3 linked regions of the Oryza sativa Japonica Group genome follow. The main gene of each other region encodes a partner of the protein of the gene in region 2 in a complex. Links are inferred from orthologs where the notes say so. Each region holds a gene or a part of one and is shown on either strand. Other genes may lie near its edges.

What was found.
Region 1: SNW/SKI-interacting protein A-like (region 2) and serine/arginine-rich SC35-like splicing factor SCL28 share a complex: the UniProt entries of both Arabidopsis thaliana proteins name them as parts of the spliceosome. The link is inferred for Oryza sativa Japonica Group from reciprocal best matches to the Arabidopsis thaliana genes SKIP and SCL28.
Region 3: SNW/SKI-interacting protein A-like (region 2) and serine/arginine-rich splicing factor SR45a share a complex: the UniProt entries of both Arabidopsis thaliana proteins name them as parts of the spliceosome. The link is inferred for Oryza sativa Japonica Group from reciprocal best matches to the Arabidopsis thaliana genes SKIP and SR45a.

What each region holds. Positions count from the first base shown.
Region 1 is NC_089037.1:14,526,418-14,530,654, reverse strand, and holds the start of serine/arginine-rich SC35-like splicing factor SCL28, read right to left. Parts: upstream 2,801-4,237; 5' UTR 2,710-2,800; coding exon 2,492-2,709; intron 1,017-2,491; coding exon 939-1,016; intron 568-938; coding exon 403-567; intron 288-402; coding exon 220-287; intron 140-219; coding exon 100-139; intron 1-99. Other genes in the region: pentatricopeptide repeat-containing protein At5g18950, read left to right, coding at 2,977-4,237. UniProt on the Arabidopsis thaliana protein: Involved in intron recognition and spliceosome assembly. Probably active at the 5' splice sites.
Region 2 is NC_089036.1:32,488,241-32,496,277, forward strand, and holds SNW/SKI-interacting protein A-like, read right to left. Parts: upstream 4,758-8,037; 5' UTR 4,657-4,757; coding exon 2,833-4,656; 3' UTR 2,401-2,832; downstream 1-2,400. Other genes in the region: protein CURVATURE THYLAKOID 1D, chloroplastic, read left to right, coding at 6,411-6,558, 6,643-6,878, 7,444-7,548, 7,819-7,890, 7,970-8,026. UniProt on the Arabidopsis thaliana protein: Splicing factor involved in post-transcriptional regulation of circadian clock and flowering time genes. Associates with the pre-mRNA of PRR7, PRR9, ELF3 and GI, and is necessary for the regulation of their alternative splicing and mRNA maturation.
Region 3 is NC_089037.1:8,817,989-8,821,939, forward strand, and holds the start of serine/arginine-rich splicing factor SR45a, read right to left. Parts: upstream 2,801-3,951; 5' UTR 2,671-2,800; intron 1,814-2,670; coding exon 1,791-1,813; intron 1,712-1,790; coding exon 1,643-1,711; intron 1,528-1,642; coding exon 1,416-1,527; intron 1,345-1,415; coding exon 1,195-1,344; intron 1,088-1,194; exon of another isoform or gene 990-1,087; intron 873-989; coding exon 809-872; intron 686-808; coding exon 60-685; 3' UTR 1-59. UniProt on the Arabidopsis thaliana protein: Probable splicing factor involved in constitutive and/or alternative splicing events. May bridge the 5' and 3' components of the spliceosome.

The DNA of each region.
Region 1 (4,237 bases), on a different chromosome or scaffold from region 2:
AGAGATGTTTGAAAGGAAAAAGAGTGAAACACTGACAAACAGGAGAGGACAAGCGTATTTGCTATGCTATATGTAAATACTAAAATATTGAGATGATACCTGTAGTCACGTCTAGCTGGAGAGGGTGAAGGTGAATAAGCTGACAGGAAATAGAGATCATTTAGTGATGAGATTAAAAATCATAAAATATTAACTCATATAACAAACATTTATACTTACAATGGTAACGAGACCTTGGAGATCTTGATACTGACCGCCTTCTGTGGCTACCATCCATGTATCTTCCACTACACAGACAGAAGCACAAAGCATTTCTTTTGTTACATCAAATTCCAGTCGCTGCTATCATATATATTCCAAATGCCTAATCTGGAAGTTGGTAAAATATAAAAAATTAAGCACCTTGTTCTTGTCCTCATCCGCATTTCTTGTGGGGTTTTTCTGTTCTCCTCGGCAAAAACTATTGAAATCTCTCGTCCACCAATAACTTGATGATTCAATTCTTGCTTGGCCACTGCAGCATCTTCTGGATAGCGGAATTTTACAAACCCAAAGCCACGTAATTCCCTACAACAATTTAACACGATCATGGAAGTGATTGTGAATCAGACAAAATCAATATACACATCAAAAGACATTCTTAAAAGAACACAGAATGTGCAACAAGCATCTATAAACCCTATTTCCAAGCAGAATACATGGTTCAGACCAACATCAAAGCACAAGCATAAGGCAGCCTGGAAACAAATGCTCTTTGAAATGTTCATAATAATGATAAAAATTACTGGGTTCAATTAACGCAATTTCTTCATGTTGTTCAAAGAATTGCTTATCTTCTGTGCAACATGATAAACGTTCCAGAATTAAGATATTGACTTAACTAGAACTCAAATGCACCAAAACAATTGTGTAAGAAACATAAGATAAGTTATTATTACCTTGTATGGAAATTTCTTGGAAGGTAGACATCCTTTACAGGGCCAAATTGCTCAAACGGAATACGAATATCTTCAGGCCTGCAAAAAACGAAAATCAAATAATATTAAACCATAATTAGTAGCTACAGTGCAAAATCATCTACATACAAAAAGAAGATACTTCAGTATGTGATTGTGGAAAGCTGTATATAAGAATGATTTACTGTGCACTGGCTACTTATGTACTACATGCTTGCAGTGTAGAAAATGTTGACTTAAAAAAAAGATCCTGAGCGTTCCAAACTATCGAGAAGGGAACCTAGAACAGTAGCATTATGTCTCCAAACTACAAGATCTGAATTATCAAAGGTTGCAACCACTGTCTATATACAAATATGAATACATCCAGAGTTCATACATTTGTTTTTGTTTTCCAGAGACATAAGCAGCATTATATGATGCAAAGTTCATAAAACAACGGTTCTGCTAACAAAGCCATATCTAAAAGAACTAGATTAATTCTAGGAACACTTAAAGGAACACAATTTAGTGCTTACAATTTAGCCTCTACCGAAATAAAACTTCATAATAGATCTGAAAAATGTTCCATCTCAATATATGCAGTTAAAATCCAACCTGACACTTGAGTTGTTAAAACCTGGTAACAAGACATTTGGGTGAAAGCTTGGATGATACAAAAAAATGCAAGAGAAATGCTAATCCACATATGTGGACATCCATGCACTGTTGTATCTGCCTGTTTGGGGGAGCTTTAGATTATGAGAAGCAGCTGTTTGGTAGCCAGCTTCTGAGAATCTGGAAAAGCTCTGAAACCCAGCTTCTCCAGCTTATGGCTTCTTAGTTCATTTTTCAGAACTACAGATTCTCAGAAGCTGTGGACTGTTTGGGGCAGCTTCTAGCAGAAGCAGCTTTTGGGAAAAGCTGCAGCTGGGACAAGCTCCCCAAACAGGGCCTAAAGTGCTAGGAAATTTTTAATGTACAATAAGAGCTATTTGAAGATGGGAATTCTGGTTTGCATGTCTAACTGATGCATGAATCTCAAGGCACTCTGTACAGATGAACATCCAATGCGCAAAACCATTAGAAAAATGCATTAGGTTACTAAGGTAGGGTATGGAATATGGAAGCTACCTATACCAACATGTTCAACCTTAGTGAATGGCTTCCAAAACATTTGTTCTCTCCTAGAGAGCAACAAGTGTGAAACAGCCCACTACCATGAGTCCAGCAAGCATTTGCTGGCATACAAACTATCAGGAAAAAAACCGTCGTATTTTCTCAACAGTTCCACATCAAAACAAACCTGCTCTGTTTTTTATTCTGAATACAGCAACAAATAAAAACACATATAAGACTGAAAAGCACAGAAGCACACAACCAAGCCTAATGCAACTACCAAACAAAACAATGTGCAGATTCACAGGGATTACACACTGAACGTATCAACCAAACCACATAGCGCTGTGCTACTAGCAATTATTCAAATTGCGGTAAGCCCTAGATCAAATGGGCAAAAAAAAAATAATAATCCAAAGAGGGCAACGGCTACGCACCTTGCGGTGAGCGAGATGTTGCGGACGAGGAGCCCGGTCGGCGCAGGCGGCCGGCCATACCCGCGGCGGGGCCCTTCGCCTCCACCTCCACCTCCACCTCCGCCGCGAGGATAGCGGTCGCGCGGGTCATCGTACCGCTTGTACCGCGGGGGGCTCCGGCTGTACCTCCGGCGCGGCTGCGGGCTGTAGCTCCGGCTCCGGCTCCGGTACCCGGCCATCGCCGCCGACTCGCCGCGACCCGGCCTAGGGTTTCTCTGAGGTTTGGATTTTTTTTTCTTTCTGTCGACGAAGGCTTGGGCGAGGAGAGGTGACGATGCAGCACGGCACGGGGCGCTTTTATCTAGGAGAACTCGAAGGCCCATGGGCCCATGGGCCAGCGGCCCATCTGACCCGCCTCCAAGCCTGGAAAAGTCTTCGTAGGCAAACCTGGCCGCGGCCACCGTGACACACTTGACACTCCTCGCGCCGCCGCCGCCGCCGCCACGATGCTGCGGCCGGTGCGTCATTCCGTGCAGCGCCTCTGCTCCACCTCCACCTCCGCCGCCGCCGCTGCTGCCGACGCCAACAACCCGCCGCCGGCCACCTTCCTGGCCGCGGCCGCCACGGCCGCGGCGAACATCCTCGGCGCGGCGCGCTACGAGTCCCGCCTCCTCTCGCTCCTCCCCGGCGACCTCCTCTTCCACCCGGCCTGCGTCCGCCTCACCCTCTCCCACCTCCTGCCTTCCCCTGACCCCTCCCTCCGCTTCCTGCGCTTCCTCTCCTCGCACCTCCCCGCCGCCCCCGACGCCGCACCGGCGGAGCCCGAGCACGAGCACGAGCACGAGCCGCCGCTCCTCCCCGGCGTGGACGGCTTCCTGATCCAGCTCTGGCCGCCCGACGCCGCCGACGCCGCCGAGGTGCTCGCCTCACGCCTCGGCATCCACCCCTCCCTCCGCGCCCTCAACTTCGCGATGCGCTCCGCCCTCCGCGCCGCGCGCCCCGACCTCGTCTTCCGCCTCTTCTCCGCGTTCTCATCCTCCCCGGACTTCCCGGGCGACGCCGCCACCGTGGCCTTCCTCGTGCGCGCCTGCTCCGCCGAGGGCCGTCCGCTCGACGGCCTCCGCCTCCTCCGCGACGGGGCTCGCCGCGGCGTCCCTCCCCAGCTTGACGCCGTTGCGGATCTCGTCGCGGCCTTCTCCGCCGCCGCCAACTTCGGCAAGGTGTCCGAGACGCTCCACCTCATGATCGCCGCGGGAAGTGTCCCAGATACGGTCATCTACCAGCGCATTATCCACGGGCTTTTCGCGCACAAGATGGGAAGCGAGGCCCTGCGAGTCTTCAACGAGATCAAGCTGCGGGGCTACAACGTCGATGCGGTCACATACACAACGGCGATCGACGGATTGTGCAAGATGGGCTGCATAGACGAAGCGCGGCAAATCTGGAATGAGATGGTGGACAAAGGAATGGAGCCTAACGAGTATGCCTACTGCTCTCTGGTGGCCTACTATTGTAAAGCTGGTGATTTCGAGATGGCTCGCAAGGTGTATGATGAAATGCTCGGGAAGGGTTTAAAGGAGAGTACAGTCAGCTGTAACATTTTGGTCACAGGGTTTTGTACCCATGGGAGGGTGGACGAAGCGCTTGGGATGTTTGAGGAAATGGTTAAAAAGGGGATTGAGCATGATGTGATTACTTACAACATATTGATTCAGGGCTTATGCAAGGCTGGGAGGTTGAGTGAGGCAATACAGGTGTACGAGCAGC
Region 2 (8,037 bases):
CACGGTGTGCCTTTCCTTTCGGTCGCCGTCGCCTCGCCTCGCTTGATCGACTGATTCTACAGCGCCATCCACCATGAGACCCGACTCGGTACTGAGTTACAGACCGAACAGTTCAACTGAGACTCTTTAAATTGTAGGAACGAAAAAGCAAAGGAATATAAAAAACATAGGATTATAATTAGACTGTAGAAAAAACACATGAATTCGAGAAGAGATAAAATATTCAAAGAAAACTTCCCATGTAAACTTGCATGTAATAAGGTCACGTAGAAATTTCATAGGATTCATTCATTTGATTCAAATGTTTATATATATGAAAAAATTCTATAGAAATAAAATACTTTAAAATTTCTATAATTTTTGTTCGAATCAAAGGAAGCCTAAAAACAGCTTAAGCTAGTAGTAAGAAAAGATGGGACAATTCAGTTGTACTCGATGATAAAGCGAACACCAAATCCGAATATAATCTCGGGGGGAAAACCGGTGCACGTCACGCTGCCCGTGCCAACCATCTGTTTACCTACCTCTTTCTCTCTCTTCCTCTCTCTAGTTCGATCATTCGTTTCGGTGATGGCGACTGGGTTTGCGTTGCGAATGCAAAGCTCTCCGATTCAAACAGTGTCATGATAACCTGATAACCGCGTAGGACATGGATCGATGGGGACGACGAGGACGACGGCTACGCTGCTATGATATGCTGGATAGCAAAGAACGTTTCTTTCTTTGCCTTTGGTGCGGAATCTCCTGCAGCGGCATGGTGACGTGAACCTGATTTTAGCTGCTGAATTTGGGAGATTTTGGATTCGATCGATCGATCGGCTACGAGCGGCCATGGCTGCATTGAGGGGGTTAAGGGTTCAGAGTAAGAATCAATCACAAGTTGGGTTGCTAGAGTTGACCGACGCAAAATACTTTACGAGATTATTGCCATGAGGAATAAGGTGGACTGACGTGCAAGCATATTTGCAGTTTGCAGTCAGTAATGTACAGTTTTTCCTTTTTCTTTCAGTTTTTACTTTGTACTTAAACTTCTTTTATCAATATAGCGTAAAGCAATCTTGTTTGGCCGTTGAAAAAAAAGGAGAAGGGTTCAGAGTGAGGTCAGAGACGAATTTATTTCATTTTTAATTTTTTTCTTTTAATATTTACAGAAATAATCTATTGGCACAAAAAATTACAAAAATAGACCCTGCCGCTCTAATGGAGGGCGGCAAGCTAACGTGGCAGACGGCGGCTCGACGGCGCCGTCTGCCGCCGTCTGCGAAAATTGCATTTAGCCCCTTGCCGCTCTCTGTAAGGGCGGCAAGGGGCTAAATGCAATTTTCACAGCCCTAAAGAGCATTTGGCTGGTACTTTTTGCATCTAGGCCCCTTGCCGTCTTATTAGAGGGCGGCAAGGGACCCAGATGTAAAAAGTACCAGCCAAAAAGTACTAGGCTCGGGCTGGCTTTTTTGCATGGGGGCCAGAGGGCGGCAAGGGTTTTCGTGCAAAAAAAACCCTCCCTCTCCCGTCTGCCGTCACCGCCCGTCCCTCCCCCGTTTGCCACGTCAGCTTGCCGCCCTAGTGGAGGGCGGCAGGGGTCTATTTTTGTAATTTTTTGCGCCGATGGATTATTTCTGTAAATATTAAAAGAAAAAAATTAAAAATGAAAAAAATTCGTCAGAGACCGAGGTTCTCTTTGTCACTGGGAAGAGTAGCATCAGGATCTTGGGCTCAGATATGAGCAAGGAAGAAAGTGAGGTGCTTTTTGTAGCCGAACAGGGGTGCCGATGGAACCTCAAGGTTGCTCGGCTGCTTCGTTTGGGCCTAGGCATTAAGCAGGCCGGAGTTATCAGCCAGCGTAATTTGCTCAGCCCGTCAGAAAATTACGGTTTTCAGCTTTGAGAAAATTCCATCCATGCCATGAAGATTTTGGCCAAAATCAAAGAACACCAAAATCCTGTTATTTGCGCTTCACACAAGAAAACGTGCTAATGAAAACTTTCCTCTTCACTGTGTTCCTAATTTCCTATAGCTGAATCTGCATACCTGAAGAAAAACACAACACTATGGCTGAATCTACATAACTAAAGGAAAAGACAAAACAAACTGAAAGTGTGTATCTGTTCAGATTCTAATACTAAGATATATCATATCATGTATTAAGTTTATTTATTTTAGGATGGATAGTGTTTTAAAATTATGCCATGATCTTACCAGTAATAATCACAAAAGAGAAGTTATTTAATCCGAAAGTTGGTACTACAGAAACCACATCAACTGCAAGCAAAGGGAATGCTCCGGCAAAGTCTTGCAACAGAAAATGCTTACCGACAAAAAATTTTCGAAGAATTCACTATTTGCACAAAACATGAATATCCCCAAAACAACATACCGATATTGGCAATACCCAGAAATCCATCCAGCCAACAATCATGGTAGCATGAAATAATTAGAACTTGTGAAAAAACAGAACACGGAATTTATATGTATCCCGTGTCTCAGTATTTCAGCCAGATAGGCAGATACATCTTAAAGACTTGGTACAGTACCAGAAAATGTAAGGTCAGCCAGACACATCGAGACTTCATAAAGCACCACAAAATATAAGGGATATGGAATGATGATAAGTTAAGCTTACAGATCCATCCACAAATAGATAAACAACAAGCATAATCACAGGATCTAAACAGGTACACTCCTTAAGATGCCCCTTGGAAGTAGACGTTGCATTAAGACAACTCAGACATCAAGTCCTCTCATCAAGAAGTTGATATTCTCAACAGAATACCCTCCAGATAACATTTGGAATGCATGGAGAAACTTCTGAACAAAACATGCAGATCTAATACCTCAACGACCTCTTTCAAAGTTAATGCGGGACCTCCCAGATCCTCCACCCTCGTAATCATCTCTCATTGAGGATCCACCACTTGCCCTCATGGCTCCTCCGCTTCCAATCTTCTCAACAGCTTTCTTCCCCTTCTTCACTTCAGTCAAGAACTGATCAAGACCGAAGGGATCATTCTCCTCCTGTTTATCAAACTCCACAGGTCTGTCTCTCTTTCCAGACCTCTCTGAAGCACCAGAAAATCCTTTGTCTGGTTTGAACCTATCTGTCTTCATAACCTTCTCCAGTTGTTCATCTGCATCGCCATACACATCAGAATCACCGTCCTTCTTAGGCCTGTAAAGTGTGGATAGCGTTGGCTGCGCTGTGAAGAGACCCTTGGAGTAGATGTTATACTGATCATCTGTAGCAAACCCAGAGTCCATTCCTTTATCCTGGTTGAACAACCTCTGGTCATACATGACTTCCCCACCTTTAGCACCGCCAGTGCTTGCCATGCCCAGGGCAATCTTCTCACTGACATCACGATCCCTGTCTCTAGTGAGCTTACTCTTCTTGCCCATTGCAGCATCCCTGGCCTCCAGCCTCCTCTCTCTCTCCCTCTCACGTCTCCTCTCCTCACGAATCCTGTCACGCTCAATCCTTGCTTCCCTTTCTTCTCTACTCTCCCTTCGTTGCTCACGAGGCTGCTCCAAATCCATATCTTCCTCCCTGTCATCAACAGCACCTCTACCACCACCAGCAGGAACCCCTGTAGGTGCAGGTGGGGCACCAGTCCTCTCCATGCGCGCCTTCTGTGCAAGTGCCCTTAGCTCTTGCTCCTTCCTCTCCTTCTCCTTCAGCTGCAGCTCCCTCTGCACCTTGGATCGCATCTGTACTGCCTCCCTGGCCTTCTGCTCCGCCACATACAGTGCTTCAGAGAGCTTTGCAAAGTTATCATTAATTTGAACCTCCTGCAGCCCCCTTCCATCAGCTGCCAACCTCTTGTCGAGTGGTATGGTGTAACCCTTTGGATTTTTCCAATTTGAAATGCATGGTGGAATCTTCCAATCTTGCTGGTCCTTCACTGTCACTGGCCGTGGTGGCGAGTGCATCACTGGGACAGGCGGTGATCCAGAAGCGCGGGGCACTCGCTTATGCTTGAATTTCGGTGGCTCAAGAGGATCCTGAGCCATCTCTGACATCCTAATAATCCTCTCCTTGGCACCTGAATTGAAGGCTGCCGATTGCTGCGATGGCTTATACTTGATAAACTTTGACTCTGAATCATGCGTCGGCACATTCTTGGGCTGTGCGGCGGAGAGCCGAACATTGACAACCTTCTCCAAGGCAGCTTTAGTTCGTTCAGTGGTTTCTTCGATCTGTTTCTGGTACTCCTCGTCGTCCGCGGTTGCCTCGGAATCAGCCGTGGCAATCTTGGGCACGAGGTCGCTGTGCTTTGAGTAAACGATCTTAGAGGCGTTCTCACCCTGCTTCACGACGGCGTCGAAGGCGACGCTGCCCTTGGCGTCGACGGTGAGCGCGAGGATCTTCGAGCCGCCCTTCTCGTCGCGCCGGCCCATGCCGAGCGGGTACTGCGCGACGTGGATCTCCGGGAAGGCGCCGCCGTCCCCGAAGTCCTCCGGCCGCCGCGGCACGAACCCGCCACGCTTCCCGTACGGCGGCACGGGCTTGGCGGGGCCCGAAGGCTTCGCCGCCGCCGCCGCCGCGTCGGATTGCGCCGACTCCCCGCCATACCGCTCCTTGAACCACGGGTCGCTGCTGTGGTCGTAGAACGTCGACGCCGCCGCCTTGGGCGTCGGGAGGAGCTCCTTGAGGGACGCCATGGCTAGCACGGCGGCAAGCCGCGCGGGATCTAGGGCTAGGGTTCCGGCGAGTCGCTGGGTGGGGGATCGGGAATCGAAGAGGAAAAGCTAGGGTTTGGTTCGATTCGTGTAATTATTTGGGCAACGCGATAAGAGAAGCTGACCACGGTGGCCGGTGGGGTTATGGCGGCTACCGGATGGGCTAGGCCCGATAAGAATTTGGGCTGGGCCGATAAATATGCACCAAATCCTTAGCCAATCCGAAGCAAATACCATCGTGTCTGAGACTTCTAGTCCGAAACAAAATAATTCCTTGGGCTGGAAACTATTAATACTGGTGATGATGATAACTGGGTTGAATCCTGAGAGGATAGGAAAGAGGGGATTGAGAAGATACGCAAAATAAGGTGAGGTGAGCCATTAGTGTATTATTAATTGAGTATTAACTATTGTAAGTTTTAAAAATAGATTAATATGATTTTTTAAAACAACTTTTCAAAAGAATTTTTTTTTGCCAAAAACGCATCGTTTAGTAGTTTGGGAAGTGTGCGCGTAGAAAAGTAGATGTTTTCTCCTCAATCTCCCAGCAATCTCTCCTGCTCGAACGGAGCCATGCTTGTCTGCACGGGTAATGGCTACTCCCTCCGTCTCATAAAAAACCAACATAGTACTTCCTAGTACAATAAATCTGGACATACATATGTCCAGATTCGTTCTACTAGGATATGTCACATTCTATATTTTAGATTTATTTTTTTTTGGACGGAGTGAGTAACGAGTAACGAGGCTACGGTATTAACGGCTCGGAATGTTTGCCTGTTTGTTTAACGAGAATAAATGAGACTGACAAGTGGGCCCATTAATTTCGCTTGCTAACACGAGTTTAATCTGCCAATTTGGGCTCCACATGACACACATTGTCACCACCCAGCCAGGCCCACGCGCGTGGTCGGTGAAAATGCTAGGCCTACTTACTGTGCCAGCCCAAATTATCCTACTAAGTACAACGTAAGGAAGCGGGCTGGAGACCGGACGGAATGGTATACCTGCAGTACTGGGCCTTCTCAAAGGCCGTGTTACCAGCCGACAAAATTTTTGGTCCACTAGAAAATGTTACCCCAAATGTTAATGTATTATCCCAGGAAAAAGAGAAAGTGCCTATGTAATGTGTCAGTTCTATGGTTGGCTAGCGAATGAAAATCTGCCGTACTAAAATAAATAGAAAATATTTTATGGACTTGGAAAAAATGGTGGCGTGGAAGTACCCAGACAACTCGATCTAAATGGGCAGCACATACTACTCCACATGTACTACGGACACTATCAATTTGTTTGTATTTTAACAGGCCAAAATCTTCTAGAATACGAATTATGCTACAGTTAAATTGCATGGTACAGGACTACAGTTACAGGGAGTATAATTGTACCAGAAAAAGAAGAATGAAAATGAAAGTAGATCCATCCAAAGAATGCGAAACCACACCACACACACAGGTGGTACTCAGAGAAAAGGAGCGAGCAAAAGAGAAAGCGCCACATGTCACCCTCCAAAAGCACAAACAAAAAATCAGGGTGTGTGAAAAAAGAGAAGAAAAAGAAAAAGAAAAGAAAAATTCGGACAGCATCAGCACAAGTAGTAGTAGTGCACAGCTCACTCGCACAGTCTCACTGAGCCACTAGCCCACCACCACCCTCATCCTCCTCCCAGCTCACAAAAACCTCAAACCCCCAGCCTTCTCGGGCCTCCACAGAAAGCCGAGGAAGAGAAAAAAAAAATGGAGCTCTTCGTCTCCACCGTCGCCTCCGCGCGCGCCACCGCCCCCTTATGCTTCGCCTCCTCCTTCCACCACCGCCGCGCTGCTCCTCCCGCCGTCGCCGCCGCCGCCACCCTCCGCCGCAGCAACCGCCACCTCCCGACTCGAGGTGCCCGAACGCGCCACGATTTTTTTTGATTGATTGATTGATTATCTTTCTGACGGTTTTGCTGTTGGTGATGGTTGTCGCCAGGATGGCGGTGCGCGAGCGCGGCGGCGCCGGACCCGGTGCCATCGGAGGAGCCCGCGTCGGCGTCGGCGTCCACCGTCGTCGTCACGGAGGACAAGCCCGATCCGCCGCCGGCGGAGGAGAAGAGCGAGGAGGTCGCGGCGGTCTCTAATGGCGGGTCTCTGGAGACCGTGGCGGCGGCGCCGGTGTCGTCGGGGGCAGCCGAGGAGGACGGCGGCTTGGATGACATCCTCAGCAAGGTATTGCCTCGTTGTACCTGTTGATGTTTCTGAATTGATCGCCAATTCTGACATATCAATGCCCAATTACCTGTTGCTGTCAAATGATTGAGAGGAGAGACGAGTTGAAGAATATTGCATACAGAAGTATGGTGAAGAATCCAATGACAAATGCATACTTGATAGATCTCAAAATGTAAAATTGAGTTCAGTCACCGACTCGTGTACCAAAATGTGAGAGTTTGTGAGCTGGGTGATTAGGACCTAGCATGAGGTTTGCAGAGACAGAGCTCTAAACCCCAACACATGATAGACAGAAACAAATGCCATATGCCATAGTTTTCTTGCTATGGATTGAAGTTTGATTGTTTCATGTATAGCGTACCACATTGTTTTTTTTCCTTCTATTTCTGTTAACTCAGAAGCGAGTGTATGTATCACCATAATCTCATCTTTCCTGCATCCATTTCCATATATTCAGCTTGCCTGTTCTTGTGTTTGCTATACGGGATGAGGCATTGAAACGCCTTTGCTGTACTGCATTTAGTACTGTTGCTCACACAAATTTTTTAATCGTTCATTTCAGCTGGACATCCAAGTGACACCAACTCTTGTCCTCTATGGATCCGGTGCTTTGGTTGTCCTATGGGTTCTATCTTCAGTTGTTTCTGCAATCGATTCCATTCCCTTGGTATGTAGATATGACATTTTTCACCAAATATGTAGATATGACATTGTTTACAAATTTGTATGTATCGAAAATAGTTAAAATCTGTCTTCAAACCGCTCCTGGTATATACGCCTAGTTGTCCATTATCTGAAAAATGTAGTCCTAGTTGTCCAGTATCTGAAAAATGTAGTTCTAGTTGTCAGCAGTAGTAGGGTTGATATAGTTTTGTCGTACTTATTACTTGAAGAGTTTACACTGTACTTCCTAAACCGCTTGATCATCTCATTGCAGGTTCCAAAAGTTCTTGAACTCATAGGAACTGGTTACTCAATTTGGTTCACTTCACGGTACCTCCTCTTCAAGGTACATTTTCAACTCCCTACAAAGCAAGCGCCAGTCATTCCTGTTGTGTGATCCTAAGATCATTTTATCATATATGCAGGAAAGCAGGGACAAACTGTTTGCGAAATTCGAAGATCTGAAAGAGAGGATTATTTGAGCTCACGATGA
Region 3 (3,951 bases), on a different chromosome or scaffold from region 2:
TACAGACATACACTTAGGCATAGAGAGCTTTATTGATCTCTAGAACATCAAGCTTCAATTCATTCTGAGCGCTCCCTGGAGACAGACCTTGAGTAGGAACTGCGGCTGTGAGAGTAGCTCTCCCTAGAATGCCTCTTACCCGACGACCTGCTGCGCGACGGTTTCCTTTCACTGTATCTTTTCCTTGGAGAATAGCTCCCTGACCTCTGAGAATCCGGGGAACAGCTATGGGAGTAGCTCCTCTGAGGTGATACACTGCGAGAATAGCTCCGTCCTCTAGCACTTGGAGAATAGCACCTTCTATAGTATGGTGAAACAGAATGGTCATAGGAACATGACCTCTCTCTTCTGTAACGGTATGGAGATCTTGAACGGTAGCGGGAACCACGGTAAGATGAGTATGACCGACGCCGTGAACCACGTGTGTCATAGGGAGAGTATGATCGCCGTCTACCATAAGGAGAAGGGGATCTGCCATACGGAGAGTAGGACTGTCTCCTTTCATGTGGAGAGTAGGATCTACGCCTCTCATAGGGGGAGTATGATCTTCGCCTGTTGTATGGAGAATATGATCGCCTTCTACCATAAGGAGAATAAGACCGTTCTCGCTCAGGTGAGTAGCGTGAACTGTAGCGGTCTCTTTCAACAGGCGAGTAGCTTGGGGAATACCTCCGTGCTGGTGTCACTGTATAATAAAAAATATTCAGCAATCAGTTGTATTATATCAGGAAAGGCTAGCAATGCTTCCTATTTTCCAGAGAAATGAGACCAAACCATCCAGACACAGCAGCAGTTAAATCAAACTTACCACATGATGATTTTGTGCCTAGATACCTTCCGGGCGTTGGTGTTCGACCACGTCTTCTCTTGGCCTGTGGAAAGGATTCAAATAAGCCTTTTCGCCATATTAGCATTAAAGAGTGATGCAACAAATTGGGAATCTGAACGACATGATTAATATGGAGACTATATAATGTAGGGCATACAACCCTTTGGTTGAGGTAGCATGTTTGGCTGTTAGGTTGTAAATCTTTTGAATTTGACGTAGAGCAGCAACGGACATCTACCCTGCTGCTGTCAACAAAAGCTTCAAACGGAAGAGCACTCAAATATTCAGCTCAGCAAGCTAAATGAGCATATAAATTTCACTCCAAGTAGAAGTGAAGAAATTCAGTAAATATATTGTGATTATACCTTCTCTACAGTTATCACACGACCTTCCAACACTGAGCGGTCTAGATATTTGATGCAAAGATCAGCCTCCTTAACAGTAGCCATGGTAACAAATCCAAATCCCCGGGATTCCCTTGTCCATGGATCAAGTACTATGCTAGCATCAATAACCTGTAATACGGTGAGCTTAAAAAGTTGTACACTATTTTGGTATCCCTTTGCAGATACTCTATAAAGGTTACCTCTCCCTCAGCAGAAAAGTGTTTCTCCAGATCTCGATCTGTCACACGAGCAGATAAGCCAGTAACATACAGGTTGTTCCCAGGGTTTTCAACATCACTTGAGTCCACACTTCTAAAGACATCAAAAGGATATCACATACTCATCAGAATTACAGTAGGCAAAAATGTTCACCCTCGAATATAGAGTGAAGGCAGAAACATACTAAGCGCTAAGATAAATACCATACCTAGAACGACTCCTATACCTTGAACGGCTGCTCCGTCTGGGCGATGTAGAATATGAGTCGGACTCATATCTATCAGTAGGAGCCAATCAATAATCACAAGACAGGGCTTCAAAAAATGTGGAAAAAAATTAAGTTTGGTAATGCGTACCTTGATCCTCTGGAGTACGACATCTGCAAGATAGACATATGATTGCATCAATATCCACTAGAGAAACAAATATATACAAAAACATGAGATGCCACTTGAAAATGTAATTATAACAAACAGTGGGTTCATAGCCTTTTGAAGTTGTAACTGATTAATTTATGACACCTTGGTGACAATATGCCAATCAGTAAGATATTTTGCAAAACAAAATTATTATCTTCAGAATGAAGAGATGACCCAGAGTATATACCTAGCGCACGCCAAAAATAATCCACAAACCAACATAACGAAATGAACAAGAAACTGCAAGACAGGAGATTCTTTGTTTATTTTCAGCATGGTAATCATGAACTATAACTTATGCAATTGCGCTCAGCAATTGAAGCTTCCAACCATACAGTCCCTAAGATAAATCGACTTCCTAACACTGTCCCTAAGTTTCCTCCGAGGCATGTAGGGGCACTATGCAAGTTTCGAACTTTCGACAGTTGCGTTTCAAACTACATATACAATGGACAAAAAATGATTATGCCACAAGTTGTACAACAATTTGTTCCCTTCATTTCTTCATTTCGTGCCCCTCTAGAAACCCATGTACTAGCAATCTATACCTCTTCTTTTGCAAAGCAAATACACGCAAATCAGATCATTTTAACAAATGAGCCGCTATCCAAGATGGGGAACTCCTGCCGCAACGCTTCGAACTACAGCTAGGATTTATCTTTATATAGATTAAGAATAACAAAAATAAATAAATATAAACGGATGTTTTTATACAGATCAGAGGGGCAAACCATCGCCATACTGGAACAGAGAACGAACGGATTCACCGTCTTTAGCAGAGATAAAACATGAGGAGAATCAGAGGCAGCAATAATACCTTCCTTCGTCGCGACGATCCGTGCCCTAGCCGAGAGCGTCTCTCTGTGCCGGCCTCTCTTGTTCTCAGTCACGGCGCTGCCTTTCTGCGCGTCGGAGCGCGTGCGGTTGGGAGAATAAATGGAAGTGTGGAATGGGGAAGGTTCTGGACGGAGGCGGACGCGAAAGTTTCTCAAATCTGGTTGATGAATCGGTTGCGCGCACGAACTCCGCCTTCCTCTTCACGCCTTCACACATGGCGCTTCTTGGAGCCATTGGTTTTTCTTTCGGTTTGCAGTAAATAAAAGTTTCCCTTCAGGGTTTGGTTTACTTTCCAACTTTTTCTTCAAACTTCCAATTTTTTCATTACATCAAAAATTTTTACAAATATAAACTTTTAATTTTTTTTCTTTAAACTTTCAGTTTTAACCAAACTTCTAATTTTAGTGTAGAACTAAACACACAGCCTAGACCTCTTTTGGTCCTATAGAAAATTAGAGCATTTTAATTATAATGATAATTCTAACGAGTTTTTTTTAAACAAATAATTCAATCCTATACTCCCCTGTAAAATTTCTATAAAATGGACACCCCCAACAGAGATTTTAATGAAAATATAAGAGTTACAATCCTTATGTGTCTTACAATTGTATTGTTCATCTATGTTACAAATATTAGGGCATGTTTAGTTCGCGGAATGAAATTTTTTGGGTGTCACGTCGGACGTTTGACCGGATGTCGAAAGGGGTTTTCGGACATGAATGAAAAAACTAATTTCATAACTCGCTTGGAAATCGCGAGACGAATCTTTTGAGTCTAATTAATCCACCATTAGCACATGTGGGTTACTGTAGCACTTATGGCTAATCATGGACTAATTAGACTCAAAAGATTCATCTCACGATTTCCCCCCTAACTGTGTAATTAGTTTTTCTTTTAATCTACATTTAATGCTCCATACATGTGTCCAAATATTCGATTTGATATTTTTGGAACTAAACGGGGCCTAAGGGTGTGTTTGGTTCTTCCCTTTCCCAACTTCAAATCTTTGTTTTATGTGCGCACGCTTTCCGAACTGTTAAATGGTGTGTCCTTTTACAAATGAAAAATTCTATGTGTGAACCTCAACATAGGAAAATAATAATAATAAAAAGAATGGTTGATTGATTTTGCTTTAGCTGTTCTATTTGTCAGAGTAATTATCGAGTTATGAAATGCTATCTCCATCCAAATCGCACCCCCATTGGTTGGCTTATTCTTGGAATAAGCCAAACGACACATTTACAAACAATAAGTAATTTGT